Mus musculus: one gene and its partner. The protein of the gene in region 2 interacts with the protein of the main gene of each other region in a biochemical or structural test. Links are inferred from orthologs where the notes say so. Each region holds a gene or a part of one and is shown on either strand. Other genes may lie near its edges.

Region 1 (4,378 bases), on a different chromosome or scaffold from region 2:
TGGTGATCATTTATCAATGTGAGATGACTAAATTTGAAGTGCCTTTTCAAGGAACACTATTTTCAGTGCCTCTAAGAGTTAGTGTTAATTAAGCTATAAACAAAAGTAAATAAAATCATCTGGGTAGTGGTGGTGCACACCTTTAATCCCAGCACTTGAAAGGCAAAGGCAGGCAGATTTCTGAGTTCGAGGCCAGCCTGGTCTACAGAGTGAGTTCCAGGACAGCCAGGGCTACACAGAGAAACCCTGCCTCAAAAAACCAAAACAAAACAAAACAGTAAATAACCAGTGACTTAACAAACTAATTTTTTTTTCTAATTTAATCTTAGGTTTGAAGACTTTGGTATTGGTTTGGTGGCTCAAAAGCAAGGTTTTATGCTTTTTGCAAAACTTTTTCCTTTTGCAAAATGGTTGTTGCTCCAGCCATTAAATCTACTTTCTAGAAAATAAACAAACAAACAAAGCAAAACAAACCAAAAAAATCCTAGGCGTTAAGGACACATAAGATAGGCAGCACGTGCATCCAGAAAGCCAATAGTTTCCTCAAAATGCTGAACAGGCTTAAGCCTGATCTCACAGTCTCACTGAAGGCCAAGGTGGGGTGCCACTAGAGAAGGCTGATCCTTATTTGCAAGGAAAACGGAGAGGAACACGTTGCATTGTATTTATTATTTCCAATAGTGTTAAAAATTGAACCTGGTACCTTGTAAGTTTTCAACCTCTGAGCTACATCCATAGTCCAGCAAATATTTTCAATTCATTATTTTCCCAGCCTCTGTACCAGAGAAAGACAAGGGAAAGAGACTTATAATGAATCAGAGAACCATCCTAAAGTATCTTCTATCATTCCTAAAGGCCAATTTCCCTAAAAGTGAAGAATGTGTTAGCAAGATTTTGTAACCAAATGCTTTTTAGAGAGTGTGCTTTGGCTTGGGGAGAAAACTCACTTGGTAGAAATGAAACCTGGTTAATACTCCCCTGGTTAATCACCCACCTCTACAGAGGCATGAAAGCAAAACCCACAGCCAGGCATGACCGCACACACATGTCATTCCTGTGACAAGCAGATCCATGGGGCTACCTGGCCAGCCAGTGAACTGCCGTCAGCAAGCCCCAAGCCAGTATACACTTCCTCCAAGAGCAAGGTAGATGGCAGCTGAGGAGTGACATTTGAGGTTGACTTCTGGCCTACATATGTAGAGAGATAGGGGTATGAGGGACACAGATGTGAGACAGGACATATTTTGTTACAGAATATCATAGGTCATCAGCAGTTCATTCACCTGATTTTTAGCAAGTACAATTAGTTCAACTCAGTTTTACAAACGAAAATGAGATCCAGGTTTAAATAACAATCACGTTGCAGTTACTCAGGAGCTAGGACAGAGTCTGCTCTGTTCTAATGCAGACCTCTACCACAGCACACCATCCTCCACCCAGTCTAACTATGCCCATTGTGCCTGCTTGGATTAAGTCTGTATTTTGTTTCAAGCTCTTAAAAAGTAATGTTTCTCCTCTTTCCATCTTCTGAGCCAAGTTCCAAACTCTCAGTGTTGCAAAAACCCTTTGGCGCCGAATGGGTTAATGTTATGCTATGACCTTCACTTTCCTGCTGTCCCCAATCTAAATCTTCCATTATTTGATCCTGAGACTTTTATCTGCGGACATTAAACTCACTGAGCATAGTTTCCTTCCCCAAAGAGAACCATAACTGTCTACAAATGGGGATGTTCCCTCTGCTGTTCTTTGGAGACTGGAAGACACAGTATGTTCATTTCATAAAACAATTTAGAGAAAATTCTAATAAAAAGATCCCTCTGTTTCACAGTGATTATTAATACAAAGTTGTTTTGCAATAGCTGTGATTATTAAGATTTTTAGTACACATCATTTCACACACTATAATTTTTCTTATATTTTATGAAGAAATATTAGTGTCTGGAGTTTACATATCATGAGTTCTAGTTCTTTATTTATATTTGCATATGATTGCAAAATATTTTCAAAGTTCCCAGTGACTTAATTTCTGTTATTACTGATTTATATTTAAAATATAAAATATTATTTCATCTAAATTGAAAAATAGCAATAAAAAGCTTTTATATTACTCATGACTGGCAAAACTCTTTTAACAGGTAAAATACCAATCACTTCAGCTTAAATTTATACCGACTTCCAGGAAGCTCCAAATGAGGGCTCAAGGAACAAGGCAATGAAAGAACAGAGCACAGAACATGGAGCGTGGACTTATCAGAACATCATTTCTCTGAAGTCAATACTCAAAACAGTCAGGTGATAAATTTTACTAACCTTGCCTTCCTAATATTTCTTTATAAATCTTTCTCTTTGTAAATATATATATATTTACAAATATATATATATAATGCAAGGTTTGCAAATATCAGGATAATGAGCAAGTAATATCAATAGACAAGCAGTTATCATAAAATCTGTACTTCCTTTCTTTGATATGCACAATTGCAGACACCCTTCCTCCTCTGAAAGGTTTCTTCCTCCCCAGGAAACTGGCCTTTAACAGCTGAAGCACCAGTCTATTCCATGATGTCTTGCTTCCTGGACTCATGAGCACAGCTGCTCTGAAGTATCTCTGGATAGATGCTCTCACTAGAAAAGCTTGCCTTTCAAAGTCCCATATATCAGGTCACTTTACCATGCTTATCTCTGGGGAGTAGCTTAGAGAAAGACGTGTGTTCTTCCCATAGGAAGGAACCACAAGTAGTAACAATTCAATACTCACTTTCCTTATTGCTGCAACAAGATCCATGGTAAGCAGCAGCTTAAGGCAGAAAAGGTTCCTTTTGGTTTATAAGTTGAGAGTCTAGTCCATCACAATGGGGTTGGCATGGCAACAGATGCTGGGGGCAGCTGGCCACATAGCATTTTTGGTCAACAAAGCAGAAAGAAGTTAATGCTGGTGTTCTGCTCAGACAATAAGATGGTACCACCCACATTCAGGACAAGTCTTCTCTCCTCAGTTCAGCTTTCTGGAAATGCCCTCATAGACATAACTAGAGGAATAGTTCCTTTGTTCTAAATGTAGTCACTGACAAAAATGAAGGCATTTCATTCTTGAAAAGTTTACTTCAGCTTCATAATACGAAATATGCTTGGCTCATCTCTGCTTAGTACCAAGTACCATAGGGCTTAACAATCCCACACTATTCAAAATCTGAAGTACAAGGCAATCTCTTAAAGGTGAACAACTAAAAATTTTTTAAAACCAAATTAAATACTTCTAACATACAGTAACACAGAGACACACATTCTAACAGGAAAAAATAGACCACAGCAAGAAAAGCTTGATCCAGAGGAAGACCCAGACCCAGCAGGGCAAACTGTAGCTTCATATCCAGTATCTGTGGAGTTCTTGAGAGACTATTCCTGGCTCTAGTAGCACTGGCAGCCCCACTCCTCCCGGTCTGCTGCCTACAAAGCAGGAGCCTTCTCTCCTAAGCTAGCTCCACTATATCCCTTCAACTATCCCTGGCAGACGTCTGACAGTCCTGCATCTCCAAAACCTTACAGTGGCTACCACAGCTTGGGCTTCATCATTCCAGCCTCATGATTGGCCCCCAGTGGCTTCCTCACAGGGAGTCTAACCCTGTCATGCGAGCTGTTTTCTGGAACCTCGTGGTAAGCTTCCATGACTCTCAACGCCAATACCACGAAGAACTACAGACAACAAAGGAAGGATCATATTGAGAGATATAAGAAAGTCTTCACTAAGGAAGAACATAACAATTGTTTATTCAGTGGCCCAAATGGTCAGCCCTGAAACATATATAAGCAACATTATATAGTTTGAGCAGGTTATATTAGGAATACATATGTTTATGTGTTTGTATATGAGTCATCTCTGCACTACAAAATAGCCTCCGGCTGCTGTCTGCAGCGAGGGCAGAGTTCACGTCCCAGGTCACAGGGAGGTCTCCTGGACAACGTAGGTAGGGCTGCACGGCTGGTGGACGAGGCCATCTTCAGCCAATGCATATAACAATCATTGATCTATGAACAAAAAGGCTATGAATTTGAAATAGAGCAAAGAGGGCTACATGGGAGGACTTGGAGAGAAGGAAAGGAAGGGAGTAATGATATGATTATATTATAATCTCAAAGAGAGAAGAAAAGGAGATAAAAGACACACTTTTAAAATTAAAAATTAAAATTAAAATTAAAATTAAAAATTAAAAATTAAAAACAAAAAACAAAAAACAAAAAACAAAAAACAAAAAACAAAAAACAAACCCAGCACCTGGGTGACATCCACCGTGTACTGCTGCCAACTTCAGGTGCAGCCTGGTCCCTTGAAGCACAGATTCGGAGGCCGTCGCGTGATGGCCCTGAGATGCTTTCCGGA
Region 2 (3,605 bases):
ATATCTACAGCAGCACCGGTGATTTCACTGTCAGGGTGTCTGGCTGGAATGAGGTGAGCCGTAGTGAGGCCCAACTCAACATCACCGTAAAGCAGCGTGTGCGGGGCCTCACCATCAATGCCAGCCGCACAGTGGTGCCCCTGAATGGCAGTGTGAGCTTTAGTACCTTGTTGGAGGTAGGGAGTGATGTGCATTACTCCTGGGTGCTCTGTGACAGATGCACACCCATTCCAGGCGGACCCACTATTTCCTACACCTTCCGCTCTGTGGGCACCTTCAATATTATTGTCACAGCTGAGAATGAGGTGGGTTCTGCCCAGGACAGCATCTTCATCTATGTTCTCCAGTTCATTGAGGGGCTGCAGGTGGCAGGGGGTGATAACGGCTGCTGCTTCCCTACCAACTACACACTGCAGCTGCAAGCTGCAGTTAGGGATGGCACCAACATCTCTTATAGCTGGACAGCGCAGCAGGAGGGCAGCCTCATCACACTCTTCGGCAGTGGCAAGTGCTTTTCTCTCACTTCACTCAAAGCTAGCACCTACTATGTCCATCTTAGGGCCACTAACATGTTGGGTAGTGCCGCAGCCAACCGTACTATAGACTTTGTGGAACCTGTGGAGAGTCTAATCCTATCTGCATCCCCTAATCCAGCTGCTGTCAACATGAGTCTCACCCTTTGTGCTGAATTGGCTGGTGGCAGTGGTGTTGTTTACACTTGGTACCTGGAGGAAGGACTGAGTTGGAAGACCTCCATGCCATCTACCACCCACACCTTTGCTGCACCTGGCCTGCACTTGGTCAGAGTCACAGCTGAGAACCAGTTGGGCTCAGTCAATGCCACAGTTGAAGTGGCCATACAGGTGCCTGTGGGTGGTCTGAGTATCAGAACCAGTGAGCCAGATAGCATCTTTGTGGCAGCTGGCTCCACTCTACCCTTCTGGGGTCAGCTGGCTGAAGGTACCAATGTGACTTGGTGCTGGACCTTGCCAGGTGGGAGTAAGGACAGCCAGTACATTGCTGTGCGCTTCTCCACGGCTGGCAGTTTCTCTCTGCAGCTCAATGCTTCCAATGCAGTCAGTTGGGTCTCAGCCATGTACAACCTCACAGTAGAGGAACCCATTGTGAACCTGATGCTGTGGGCCAGCAGCAAGGTGGTGGCGCCTGGGCAGCCAGTCCACTTTGAAATCCTGCTGGCAGCTGGCTCTGCTCTTACTTTCCGACTTCAGGTTGGTGGGTCTGTCCCTGAAGTGCTCCCTAGCCCCCACTTCTCCCACAGCTTCTTTCGGGTTGGAGACCATCTGGTGAATGTGCAGGCTGAGAACCACGTGAGTCATGCCCAGGCACAGGTTCGCATCCTAGTGCTGGAGGCTGTTGTTGGGCTGCAGGTACCCAACTGCTGTGAGCCAGGCATGGCCACAGGCACTGAGAAGAACTTCACAGCCCGGGTGCAGCGAGGTTCCCGAGTTGCCTATGCCTGGTATTTCTCCTTGCAAAAGGTTCAGGGTGACTCATTGGTTATTTTATCTGGCCGTGATGTCACCTACACACCTGTGGCTGCAGGGTTACTGGAGATCCATGTGCGTGCCTTTAATGAACTGGGTGGTGTGAACCTCACACTCATGGTGGAAGTCCAGGATATCATCCAGTATGTAACACTTCAGAGTGGCCGCTGCTTTACCAACCGCTCAGCCAGGTTTGAGGCTGCTACAAGCCCCAGTCCACGGCGTGTAACCTACCACTGGGACTTTGGGGATGGGACTCCGGTACAGAAAACAGAGGAATTCTGGGCTGATCACTACTACCTGCGTCCTGGGGACTACCATGTAGAGGTGAATGCTACAAACCTAGTGAGTTTTTTTGTGGCACAGGCCACAGTGACTGTCCAGGTGCTGGCCTGTAGGGAGCCTGAAGTGGAGGTAGCACTGCCTCTGCAGGTGCTGATGCGGCGTTCCCAGCGCAACTACCTGGAGGCCCATGTTGATCTACGCAACTGTGTCTCCTACCAGACTGAATATCGGTGGGAGATATATCGTACTGCCAGCTGCCAACGGCCAGGACGTATGGCTCAAATGGTACTGCCTGGTGTGGATGTGAGCCGACCCCAGCTGGTGGTGCCACGGCTGGCACTACCTGTGGGCCACTACTGCTTTGTGTTTGTGGTTTCATTTGGGGACACACCATTGGCACGGAGCATCCAGGCCAATGTGACAGTGGCTGCTGAGCGTCTGGTACCCATCATTGAAGGTGGCTCATACCGGGTATGGTCAGACACGCAGGACCTGGTGCTGGATGGGAGCAAGTCCTATGACCCTAATTTAGAGGATGGTGATCAGACACCGCTCAACTTCCATTGGGCCTGCGTGGCTTCAACACAGGTCAGCCATGGGGACTTAGAGTAACAGGTCCTCCCTGACTCTTCTATCTTGTGTTTCATGTCTATTAAGTGCCTAGCACTTGGGTTATTCCTGGGGTGGGTCTTAGGCCTAGCATAAAAAAGGTTTTCTAAGCCAGGCTCTGCCTTAAGGGTGGTTAACAATCTTGTGCCCCATTTCCTTATTTGCTGTCACAGAGTGAGACAGGTGGCTGCGTGCTAAACTTTGGGCCCCGTGGGAGCAGTGTGGTCACCATCCCCCTGGAACGCCTAGAAGCTGGTGTAGAATATACCTTCAACCTCATAGTGTGGAAAGCAGGTCGGAAGGAAGAAGCCACCAACCAGACAGTGAGTCACACCCCCACCCTCCAGTGTGTCCTCATGCAAGAGCAGTACCAGTTCCAACCTGGTGTTTTTCAGCCCCTGGGGCTCTGAGTTCTCTTGATAAATGATCAAACTCAGCATTGCTTCTATCTGAAAATCCAGGACACAGCAGATTAGTAGTGTGAAATTTGAGAGGACAGGTTAGCCTGGTGCCACCTGTATCATCCCAGCACTTTGAGAGTGGAGGCAGGAAGACTGGAAGTTCTAATCTCACCAACACAATGATAACCTGTGTCTGAAAACCAAAACAAAATCTTAAGTCATACAAGCACCCTGCTTTTCGAAAAATGAACTTTATGCTACCAGCATGAAAGGCAAGTAATGAGAAAGCAAGGCCCTTGCCTACCTAGGCAGCAGCACCTATCCACATAACATGGCCTTGCTTCTGGGGGCAGTGAGCCATTCTTGCTGTCATACTTCTTCCCTGGACCTTTCATAAGGATAAGGACCACTTCACCTGCAGGCTGATGAGGCCTGCCAGTGTGTGTGGAGGGGGGCTGGGCAGTCCTGATGCCTCGGAGTGGGACTGCCTTCCCCAGTATTAAGCCTTCTCAGGTAGGAAGAGGACACTCAGTAGGTCCTGCCTGACTGAGCTGTTCCAGGGCCCACTCAAGTCAGCCAGCATCTCTGGGACAGAGCTATATAAAAAACAACTGACCTTGACTTCCTGGATGCTTTGTTTCTATCAGTGGTGCCCATGGGCTCCTACTGCCAGGTCAGCAAGGCCCTGGGCTGATCCACTCACATGCCCTTCTGGATTTAGCTAGTTAGCTCACTTACTTCACTCCAGAGGCACAACCTGGAATTTGCTTCAAATGGGAGTGACCTGGTCCAGGAAGCTTTCCCA

The links.
Region 1: the proteins of Pkd1 (region 2) and Hdac9 form a complex in vitro, tested with the Homo sapiens proteins (2 studies listed by BioGRID, with this or other methods). The link is inferred for Mus musculus from reciprocal best matches to the Homo sapiens genes PKD1 and HDAC9.

The regions. Positions count from the first base shown.
Region 1 is NC_000078.6:34,914,296-34,918,673, forward strand, and holds the start of Hdac9 (histone deacetylase 9), read right to left. Parts: upstream 2,801-4,378; 5' UTR 2,759-2,800; intron 776-2,758; 5' UTR 704-775; intron 1-703. UniProt on the Homo sapiens protein: Responsible for the deacetylation of lysine residues on the N-terminal part of the core histones (H2A, H2B, H3 and H4).
Region 2 is NC_000083.6:24,573,866-24,577,470, forward strand, and holds part of Pkd1 (polycystin-1 precursor), read left to right. Parts: coding exon 1-2,378; intron 2,379-2,572; coding exon 2,573-2,722; intron 2,723-3,605. UniProt on the Homo sapiens protein: Component of a heteromeric calcium-permeable ion channel formed by PKD1 and PKD2 that is activated by interaction between PKD1 and a Wnt family member, such as WNT3A and WNT9B. Both PKD1 and PKD2 are required for channel activity.